Linked DNA regions of Drosophila melanogaster. The protein of the gene in region 1 interacts with the protein of each later gene in a biochemical or structural test. Each region holds a gene or a part of one and is shown in the gene's direction. Other genes may lie near its edges.

What was found.
Region 2: the proteins of ttk (region 1) and phyl form a complex in vitro, tested with the Drosophila melanogaster proteins (one study listed by BioGRID).
Region 3: the proteins of ttk (region 1) and MEP-1 form a complex in vitro, tested with the Drosophila melanogaster proteins (one study listed by BioGRID).

Annotation. Positions count from the first base shown.
Region 1 is NT_033777.3:31,711,714-31,715,466, forward strand, and holds the start of ttk (tramtrack), read left to right. Parts: upstream 1-2,153; 5' UTR 2,154-2,556; intron 2,557-3,753. UniProt on the Drosophila melanogaster protein: Binds to a number of sites in the transcriptional regulatory region of ftz. Isoform beta is required to repress inappropriate segmentation gene transcription and repress genes incompatible with development of photoreceptor cell fates.
Region 2 is NT_033778.4:14,430,129-14,433,881, reverse strand, and holds the start of phyl (phyllopod), read left to right. Parts: upstream 1-1,544; 5' UTR 1,545-1,788; coding exon 1,789-1,974; intron 1,975-3,753. UniProt on the Drosophila melanogaster protein: Essential adapter component of E3 ubiquitin ligase complexes; involved in R7 photoreceptor cell differentiation, embryonic nervous system, external sensory organ development and specification of particular muscles.
Region 3 is NT_037436.4:2,630,000-2,633,752, forward strand, and holds the start of MEP-1 (MEP-1), read left to right. Parts: upstream 1-1,715; 5' UTR 1,716-1,812; coding exon of another isoform or gene 1,813-1,917; exon of another isoform or gene 1,918-1,977; coding exon of another isoform or gene 1,978-2,122; intron 2,123-2,275; exon of another isoform or gene 2,276-2,467; intron 2,468-3,538; coding exon of another isoform or gene 3,539-3,744; 5' UTR 3,745-3,753. Other genes in the region: CG42245 (uncharacterized protein), read left to right, coding at 1,813-1,917, 1,978-2,122, 3,539-3,744.

The DNA of each region.
Region 1 (3,753 bases):
GAAATAAAGACTCGCCCTCGCCTTGTGGAGAGTTTTTAATTAAAAGCAAATTTCATCTCAAATAATGCCGCTAAGCCAGCAACAACAATTAAGCAATTAATTTATTTCAGCTGTGTGGCACTTTGAATAGCGGGAAAAAATCCAAGCCGAGTAGTAAATGGCCCGGCAGGCGGCCAGATCGGATCAAACCTGTTGAATCGCGGTCCCAGAACAGAACAGTTCTGGGCAGTTCCCCTTCGAGAGAGAGTGCTTAGCCAAGCGGGTATACCAGATACTCGTCCCGTCCACTGACCGTATTTCACGAGGCAATGCAAATTGTCTGGCTACAGAGCGGGGTTAAAAGGGGTGGGCCCTAGGCAACCGAGGGATGCATTTGGATCGCCCTGCTGAATCACTTCAGCGGTGATTCATGCCGAGAATAAACGTAATTGTCTGTGGGCTCCATCGAAATTAGTTTCCAAGCTAATGTAAGCTTGCGAAACAATAAAATGGTGTGCAAGGAAAGATCAATGGAGGGTATGGCGGGTTATGCAAGCCAATTTTTCACCAGTCGTATAACTTGCTCAAAGCTATCCCCATACTACACGCTTTCATAACAGAGGGTCCACATATGTAGATATGTTTAAAACCAAACCTAACTAACCGATTGTACTTAAAGAAAGCGATTAAGGCTTCCATTATCAGCGTATAAAGAGAGAGATAACGGCCTTCCTAGACATGTCTTATCTGTCGCCCAAGTCTGGTCCCTCAATCCTTTTCCACTATCAGCGGTGCCAAAGTCAAAGAACTCCCATATCTATGCCAGATATATAATCTTAGATGCGGGGAACTGTTGCCGTTTCCCAAGAACACGCATTGATTGACGGTCTTTCCCATGCATGCCTAATGATCCTTCAAATGGGCCCTAATAACGACCAGCCCCCCTTGGGATCGGATCAGGTAACGCCCCGTCCCGGGGGTTACCCAAAAAGCGACACGCTCCCAAGACCCATCAGGCAGTTGACCAGTGGGTTACGTGTGCCATCGTGCACAGCAAAACTAGTGTATAAAGTTTATATTATCTAAGGTAGCGATATTTTCTAAAACGTAAAGAAACAATTACGTTGCAAACAATTCTCTCAGTGCAGGGCAACCCCAGCAACAATTATTCAACTTAAAGTCGGTGCAGCGGGGAAAACATGGAATCATTTCGGTTTCAGTTAGAAGTGTGCGCGAGCGTTCTCGAAAGGGGCGCTGGGGGGCGGGGCAGTCGGTGGGAGGTTGAGCGAATAAGAGAGTCGAGCATACGAGGCACGCTTTTCCGATCAAACCAGTTTGTCGTAATAGCTGGCATTTGGAATTAGTTACTGCCGATATATTGCTGCACTTGGAATGCGCCCAGATAGAAATTCCCGCACCACGCCCCTCGGCGACGATCCTCCCCTTTGAATAGAGAGTTGACTATTTTTAGCGGGCACCAGAACTTCATTAAAATACAATCAATTTGCAAGTGCAGCGCGGAGAAAATAACAAACAAGCACCAGCCACCCACTCTCTCTTTCTCCTCTCTCTCCCCCCCCCCCTCTCTCACACTCTTCCATACTCCGGTGTTCCCAAAGAGAGCGGAGAGATGGCATTTATGCTGAGCAGGCACAAGCAGAGAGGTGAAGATGGGACTGAAGAAGAAGCAGCCGCTGTGTCGGCAGAATGAAAACGAGGACGACCAAACTGCATTGTTGTCATATTTCGTAATACGCTGATGCAGCAGAGAAGCGAAGGGGTGGTGGGCGCAGAGGTGGAGCAGCAGGTCACGGCGGTGAGAGAGAGCGAGAGCGCAGGAGACTTGTTTTCAACACCAGCTTATCAGCGGGAGAGCGCGAGAAGAAAGAGCATAAGGGCAGAGCGCCAACGCAGCGGCGAAATGGAAATGTCAAGTTGGGACTGCGCTCTCCCTCGCTCTCGCTGCCAGCAGCGGCTGCGCTGTTCTCTTAACCATTTGGAGCCCCATTCAAATGTTCGATTCTTGCCATTCCATTTCGTCCGCTCATCCGTCCACATCCACTTGCGTTTTTGGTGCCCTGCGAGCGGGAGAGCAATGTGAAACGGGAGCACTACAAATACCGCCCACTACCACTACCAATTCCCATACTCCCATATTCCATGCTATTCCCAGCTCAGTTCGTGCCGTGTGATCAAAGCTTTCGGTAAGGCTTCGGCTCGGCTTTGTGTATCCACCTTAGCGGCTCTCTGTGGTGCTCGTTCTGCCTCTCTCTCTCTCTCGGTTTTGGGGCTCAGCTCAGGGACAACAAATGCGGTAAAATGGCTTCTGCGTCGACGTCGACATCCCTGCCGTTTCAGTTCTGATTGGAGGTTCGTGCGCGGCGTTTCCTCAGCTGATTTCTTTGCCTTTTGCCTTTTCGCAACCCGCTTTCGGCTCCGTGTTCGCCTCGGTTGCCAATTACGTGTAACCAACAACAAGAGAAGAAACAGAAACAACAACAAGTACTTTCGAGTGTTGCAAGCCTTCTTCCGCCGAAGAAACCGCAAAACGGATTACCAAGAATATTTGTAAAATTGGTAAGTGGTGAGATTATCCACGAAATAGTCTTCGAAAAAGGTCAAATCATCAAGTGTTCAAATTTAAACGACAAGTTTAAGTATTCTTATTACCTTCTTAAGACTTATCTTGAATCTCAGATGAGGATTTTATTGATTAAGATTCAAAAGTTCTTTAACTGGCTTTTGTTTCTGGAGTCCGTAGTGATTTTTTTAAAGATTTGAATGTTCACTGAATTATATTTTTGGATTAGAATCTAATCACTTTAAACAGGACATCGCAGGAGTCGAAAACAATTGATGACAAAATCAGCAGTTAATAGCTTTTGGATTACAGAATTATAGCAATAAAAGCCTGACAAATTGGCCAAGGGTCGTTTTGGAAATCTAGCAGTCTTAAAAGCCTAGCAGATACATTTTCTTCTAACAATTTCCCGCTCACACGCTCAGTACATGCACCAACACACGCCTATTGGAAAGACGCTTTTGTATCCAACTTATACAGATAGTGGTACAGCCACAGATACAAATGCACACATGCCGTATACGGCACATGGGGAGTAATGCCGCCACACTAGATACCAGATACTAGATACATAGATTCGTCCGCCGCTTATTTGTCGGTCGTGCTTCAGTGATCTCTGTCATTTGCAGTTGCCCATTTCCTTTTTTATCCCCCACTTCCACATCCAGTCGTCATTCGCCCGGCGCACCCCTTTTGATCACTCTTCCAGTTCCAGTGCCTTCTGGTGGCTTCCAGTGGCTGCAACACTTGCGGTGTTTTTCTGAATGAACCAATGGAGTGAATGTGTGAATGAGTAATCCATGTACGCAACATGTTTGCACTGCACAAATTATTTGGACTCAATGTATTGATTGTGTAACTCGGCTTTACGTTTATTTAATCGCAATAACTAAAGTGAGCTACAACTCTATACGTTGGTTACTATTCTTGGGAGGAAGGAAACCTGACAACCCTGGCCAAGGGGCAACTCTACACTTGCACCTGTGCTCCACGCTAAGCCACAAATTCAATTATGCAAATCAAGATCACAGCCCAAAAAACACAATCTTCGTCTCCGATCTGCATTTGTCTTTGTATGTTATGTTTATTTGTTACTTCTGTCGTTGTTTTTAATTCGCTAACCCACTTCACACAGTGGCAGCAACAACAAAAATCGTGAATTATACTTTGTATTGGGGCGAAAAGGAAACGAA
Region 2 (3,753 bases), on another chromosome or scaffold:
TCGAGGGTCCAGTTCCGGATACATTATTCGTTCGCCACGCAACTCCCTCGCCTGATTCCATTCATGTATTCATTCATCAGAGGCCTCGATTGCGCTTGGAACCTCCGTGCCCCATACTTACTCCTTACTCCCTACTGCCTACTCCTTACTCCCTGCTCCTTACTCCATTGTTTACTATCGTCGAAGATGCGTAGTAAAAGTAGCGGCGAGCAGCGCCAGTTAACCCAGTGTCTGCGATCTGAGAAGATCGTCGCAAATCGGAGGAGCGGACGAAGAAGGTTCGGACGAAAGAAAAAAGGAGAAGAAACATCTGTCGCCACGAAGAAATCCGGTTGCAAGCTGCAACACCACCGGCTCAAAATGAGCAACAACACAGAGAACATATGATTGAACTGCCCGAATGCCGCATAAAAATGGGTAAAAAACGAAAAATCGAAACGCACCTTTTGTGTTTTTGTTTTTTTTTTTTTTGTTTTTGGAGCAGCTGCCGTTGCTGTCGGTGCTTCGTCGCCGTTGCGGAGGATCGACGGGTTTGGGGGGAGCACCAGACTCTGCACTCGGCAGCCTGTTGATGAGCCCACAATGCGCACATGCTGCAAGCTATTCGTGCCGCGGATGATATGGGCTCTGTGTTGAGCCGGCGGGTCCTCCATAATGATAAGTGCCCGTCGAGGAGGCCGTCCACATTAAATTCGGCGTTTGTCGCTCAATGGCAGCTGCCACCGATTCCTTCGGCGGCTTAAGCAAATCCAAAGGACTGGACGCGAGGGACGAGCTTGAGTGTCGAAAGTTCAGATAGGTCAAGTTGTCAAAATATTCGGAGACAGTTGTCGGTGCTTTTCGATTCATTCATAAAATTTGCGAGGCTCTGATCGCTGAATGAATTTGGCAATTCGCCTTGCAAGGCAATAAAATTATAAAATAAGGTTTATCAGCAGGTTAAGAATCATTAACATTGTTATTCCTTATTTTTTATAAATATTTATTTGGCATAAAAGTATATCAGTCATCAGAATTTTATTCGTGGTTAAATTGTCAAACTTCTGCTGCATATTTCCACTGGCACTGCCTTTTGTTATCCGTTTCCTGTTTCAGAATTCGCACTAGTCATCCTAGCAGTCAACATCCCTTTTGGCGCCCTTAAATGTGAACATATGCCGCCTGTTTGTTTTGTTTCGGCTATGTCACCCTTATGGTTGCTTTTTCTCTCACTGCAATATTGGGTTATATGGTACATGTTTTCATTTTTCAAAAACACCAGGCTTAATCTGAGCCCAAAAAATTGCATTTGAGTATAAAAATTATACAAAAATAAATAAATATTTTTAAATTTTGTTTTATATTTGAAAATATATATATGATTTGAAAATATGATATATTTTGCATGACTTTTATTTCATTAGTGTCTAGCTTATCCTTTATCTCTTATTTTTCCCATCGATCCGACAACGCTCGCCACTCTCGCATGTCATTTGCCAGATGTGGCAGCCCGCAGGCACAAATTTTGAAAGTGGTGCCCAGAATGCGATGAGGACAAGCAAGGCTCATTCGAAATTTGTGCGTGCAACGCGAAGGACGTGCCGCTCCGTAGCTCGCTGTCCCGCTCTCGCTCTCCCCGCTCTCTCGCTCTGTCGCACGCGTTCGCCGCTTGGCATTTGTTGTTTGCCACATTTTCGCGGCACCCCAAAAAATCGTGAAAATACAAATACAATACGAGTGCGAAAGTCGAATATCGGCAGAAGTTAGTGCGACCTTTGGTGACGTCAGAGGCTGGGAAAAATCGCCAGGATGTCTACCAATCAGCAGCAGCAGGCGAATCCTTCGGCGGCCGTTGCCGCACCCGCCGCCTCCTCGGAATACCTGAAACGCACCTGCCTCATCTGCGGCTGCCACACCAACCAGACGATCAATATCTACGAGCCCCGCTCCGGACCCAATATCGTTCAGCTAATCCAGGCGAAATTCAAGTTTCAGGTATGGATTTTTCCCAACTTAGAGCAAAAAAAATAAAAACTCAGTTAGGCGGGGAACGTATAAAAATCGATATTGGGGCAACTCGGCGGATGAGTCATGCAACGAAGGAACGTCCTTCGGACAAAGTTTTCCCTCTGCGCGTGTATCCGTGTGTGTTTTTTTTTTTGGGTTAAAAGGGGATGAACTTCGCTGGGCGGAAAATGGGAAAATGGGTGGCACTTCTATAGGCAGGTACAGGTAACTCCCTCACAGCAGCCCACTGGGAAAAAAAGAGTGGCAAGCTATTTGATGATTGATTTCGAGCGCAGTTTTCTAATATTTTTAAGTGATTATTTGCAAAGAACTAAGGTCTCGGAATTAGTAGTTCTATCACAAACTACTTTCTTAATGAAAATTTCAAAATCCTTTATCCCTATTAGTTTTGTGGTATGCCCACCTTTTCCTGTGCCCTTTAAACTGCATATCCTGTCGCCGAGCAGATGATGCATTTCCCCGACAACCTTTGGTAATTGGACACTTTGCATATGTGCCAGTGCCACAGAGCCGCCACTTAGTTCGATTCCTTTCCCATAATTTTTAACAGCTTGTTCTAATATGCGAGCAGTGCGGTGTGTGTGTGTGTGGGAAATGCGACAGCGGAAGATGGCCAGGGAAATCGATCCTGGCTGAAGATCCTGGGCTTGTTTTTCTGTGGAAGTGAGTTTCGGGTCTCGGATTACAGGCACTCCTCCTCACTCAAATGACTACCCATGACTACCTGTACCGGCGGCGCACACATAAACCTGCTCGAAAGGGCAGATGTGCTGTGGATTTGCCGAGATTGCTCCAATTTCTGCGGGCAGTGAACGAACCCGGTGTGTTCGTTCTCTTCGTTTCCATATCCCAAAACGACAGCTGTATTTGCCGGTCGGCACTCAAAATCCAACCCATCGGGGTTTCTGGATCCTCTGCTGCTGCTGCTGCTGCTTCTTTATCAGCTCTTCATGGTCTCGAGTGAGTTTTTTCGCATATCAACTATTGAACTCGGATACCTGGATGCGAGTTCACAGTTTATTGTTTGTGAGACGAAGGGATTTTCCCCAGCAGCATTGGTGGTTGAACCCTTGGAGAATGCCAAATATCTTTGGATAGAAATTCCGGTTTCTTAAGCTGCGCAAATCCAAACAAAGGATCTACCCTTGGAATAGCGTTTACAAAGGTGATTTCAAATGCCCGAATTTTCAGCCGAAGTCCCAGAAGTGCCAAGCTAGACAAGATTTCCATTTAGAGGTCTTCGTTTAGTTTGGTATTTTTGGGAAATAGTTTTTACTAAGGTTTCCGTTCAATTGGATTACAAAGTCAGAATGAGAGTTCTTAAAACGAAGTCCTATAAAAACATAAACAATATTAAGTGGTTGCTAACATAGGTTGTTAAAATATTGGGTAGATATTGGTAGATTGTATTTCCACATATTTTCGGAATATATGTTTCGGTCTTAGATTAATTGAAGCATTGTGCTTAACTAGTATTGTGTGTATAGCAATCAATTTAATTACGAAATGCTCGAGACGCACGCAATGCGATTTCATAATAACAAAAACCCTCAGCTAACCCCGCAATATCAGACACTAGAAGCTCACCCTCTATGCACATAGAATATATATATATTCACCCCCTCCGGACGTCGTTAGAATTTCGTTTGAACCGTTTTTGCGAAACCCTATACGGTGGGCATACACCACCTGCCGTGATCGTAGCCTGGCAACCGATCTCCCCCACAGGAACAACACCCTCGCCGG
Region 3 (3,753 bases), on another chromosome or scaffold:
GTCCGGGCAATTTTCGACCGAGTGAACTGAACTGAACTGCACGCGCCAAATGCCGACTAGCATCTGAGCGCCGAGGAGCAGAGACTGTAAAGCGGAATTTGAACCGAATCGCCGAGTTGCACTTCGGCAGAGGCGGAGGACTCCGTGCCGGATGCAGACTGTGATAACATTTTCCTGAGGCTCTGCGTTCTCAAGAGTGCTCGATATTAGTTGGCCGGCATGTGACTTGAAGCCTATGGATTCTGAATGGGACGGTCGGATGGATGACTCTATATCCAGCATATAGCATCGTATCCGTATCAAGGCCGAAACACTTGTGTTGCACCGGCATTTTCAATGTATTTTCAATGCGGACGCAAAGCGAGCAAAACAAAACACAACAAGCATACGCCACGTTGCACTTGCACAGCATCAAATGCCCTGCCATCCTCATTTTTAATGCATGAGGGGGTGCTCCCTCCACCCGGCCACACTCCATTTGTTTTTCCAACCATCGCTGTGGATTGCGTAGCGATTGGGGGCTGCAGCTCCGAAACTGTTCGCTTAAGCGGTCGGTGATAAGACGCGAAATCAAATTTAAAAGCTATCAATTTGATATTAGTTCGGGGACCGACGAAAATCCTTCGGGGGAAAAGCTGCTGCCGCGTGCCAGAATGCAGAAATCGGAGTTTTTCATGGGGAATTCGTTCACGGAAAAACAAAAGGAATATATTTGAAATATAAATTTATGTTTTATTGTCATATTTTTCACTGGATATGACACTAATTTAATTCTTCTCTATCTGTCAGTCTACAGATATTTGTTTGGGTTTATGCAAAAAAAAAACCAAAAAAAAAAAACTTTTGTTTAGCTCCTCTCACGTATTTTATTTATAACTAAACTAAATATATGAAACGCTGTTTTCTCAGTGCATCCTATTTGTGTTTTTGCCAACATATGCTGCAGCTCATAAAATTTCTCCGCTTTGCTGCAGTTTTCATTTGCCTTTTTTTTTCGGCAGCTCTTTTTTGGTTAGCTGTCGAAGTTTTGAAATCAATTTGCAGATGATTTATTATGTTCCCAGGAACGAATAGGGGGCTTCAATCGAGGAGGAGTCTGTGCATACGACATTGCAAATGGAAGCCACTGACGTTGATGAATGCCGCTGTGTATTGTTTTGCTGTCAGAAGCGATCAAATTTCTGTTTTGGAGCACGGAATTCCAGGTGAAGCGGAAAATTTGCAAGTTATGCGACAGTTTTATGCGCCCATTTTTTGATTGGCAGCGAGGATTCGCAAATTGATGGCACGTCTCGGGGCAATCGGTTTTCTCAGCGGAAATGCCAGTTGGAAATGGGAACTTAAGATACTTAAAGAAATGCATCAAAAATAATAGGATAAATATTATATATTTATAGAAATTTTTAAGAAATATTAACTCTTTATCAACAGTAAGCATTTTCAAAAAGTAACCGCTTTTGCCTAACAGTGCTGCCCATCTACAATTGGTTTTCAGGCAGCACTATGCACACGGCAGTACAGCTGTTACTTATCGGTGCTATCGATAAATATCAAGGACTCAAAAATTGGGACTAATAATATTAAAAGAGCAAGCTTAAACTTTAACATTATAACTATTAAAACTGGATTTACAATTGTCTTACGTTACTTTAAAGTATAGCAGTTGAAATCGATTTAGTATTGTCAACGCGCGCTTTCCCACACTGCTCGATAAGCATATGTTTTTCTTATCGACATTTGTGGTAAATAAAAAGTGCAAAAACCGCTGCTAAATCGGTCAAGAAGTGCAATGATATAGCCGCCATATCTGATATGTCCAAGCGCAACATAACGTACGTAAAGCCGCAAGAACCTAGTTTTCTGGCCAAGTTGAAGGCTGAAATTGGCTACAAGGAGGGACCCACCGTAGAGACCAAGGTGAGTTCTACGGGGAAGGCCTCTGCAGCATTCTAATGCGGATATATAACCATTGGTTAGCGTCAGCGATTGGATCCGCAGGACCAGGAGGACTACGATTCTGAGGAAGATTCACGGGAGGACGAACAGCCGCAGGTGGTCGTCCTTAGGCCGGGAGATCTATCCGCCGAAGAGGCCAAAACGGAGAAACTGTTGGCCTCCAAAGGTCGGTACATATGTACAAGCATACATACATACATATCGCTGTAGTACATACATACTTACACGCTCGCACACGCACACACACATGCATATAGCCCACGGTGGCGGCGGCGGCAGTTGCACGTGTGTGCGTAGGTAGGATGTTGTAGTTTGTCTTTCAGTTTAACTTTTCAGTCAGAATCGAGCGGTTGTCTTCTTCTGCCCGGCGTTACATATATCTAAATCATATATGTATATATACATAACTGCGTATATACCGTTGCTTATGTATGAGTGCGCGCGTGTGCTTGTGCATTTTTGCCAAATGAAAATCTAACGGTAGTGCGAAAACAGCAGTTTGTTGCAAGAAGTATGTGTTTTTTTTTTCGAAAAGCACCTTCGGTTTTTCAATCTTTTTAAAGCCCTATGTTGCCATGGCAATCTTGGTCATTTCCGTCCTAAAGATTCCCTTTTTTGCCCAGCGGAGCACCCCTCACACAGACACACACACCCGCAGCAGCTAGCCGACGAGGCATACACACTGACATTTTCATTGGGGGCTCCGCCAAAGCAGAGCATGTGATGAAAATCGTTGGCAAAGCGGGCGCGGCGATAAAGCAGCCGGCAAAGAAGTTAACAACAGCAGCTGCCGCCGCTCGCTTTGTCCGCCTCTTCCGCTCGCCCCCCTGCCCCTTTCAGCCCCACTTGGAAGAGCGCAGAAAATCGGGTGAAAACAACGTGTGCAAGAACGAACGGATGAAGGAGGCGGGCAAAGCGGAGAGACAATGATGAACGAAGCAGGCGAGCAAAGAGGAAAAGAGCGGGCCAAAGTGGCTTGACGACGTGGTGGCGGTGGCAAAGGCGCTGCGGGGAGGGGGTAGGCGTTGAAGAAGGGGCTGGCGGAACAGCGGGGGCGGGTTGCGAATCAGTGGGTGGAGCGGGAGGGGGAGTGAAGCGGGAGCGTCGGGCGAGAAGGGGCTTCCCAGGGCCGAGAAAAACATCTTGTGGGTGCTGCTTGGAAAAGGGGGGGGTCGGTGGGTGGCTTGTTCTGATTTACACCTCCCTCCTCCCCATTTGTCATGCTGCAGTTTTTAAAACCCAGATACATTTTCCAATCCAATAATGAATTGCTGGCATATTAGTCACCTTCCTGGCAATTTTATAAGCAGATCAATTTTCAAAAACTTTCTTGTATTCCTTTTAGTTAATGCAATTTTTAAATTTATTTTATTTATATCAGCTTTGATATATGTATTGGCATTTTTCTCCCTAAATTTGTGCATACTACTTTCCCCAAAATATTTTTCATTCTAAGATAGTTTATATAACTTAAATACTCCATTTAACTTGTAAATAGGTGTTTACTTACACGCTTTACTACGATCATAATAAGTACAGATGATTGCTGACCCATAACTAACTCCCATTTTCAATCTTCCAGAATTAGCCGAAAAGCGAGCGGATCTGACGCAGCCAATAGTCTTCAAACACTGTGTCAAGCAGCCCAACATCGAGAAAAAAGAGTCCCAATCTGAAACCAACAAGAAGTCCGAAAAATCCAGCACATCCAAGAGCAAGAAGTCCAAGGCCGCCAGTAGTAAGCTGTCCTTCAACGAGGACGAGGAGGACGAGACTGCCGAGGATTGAAGATCACAC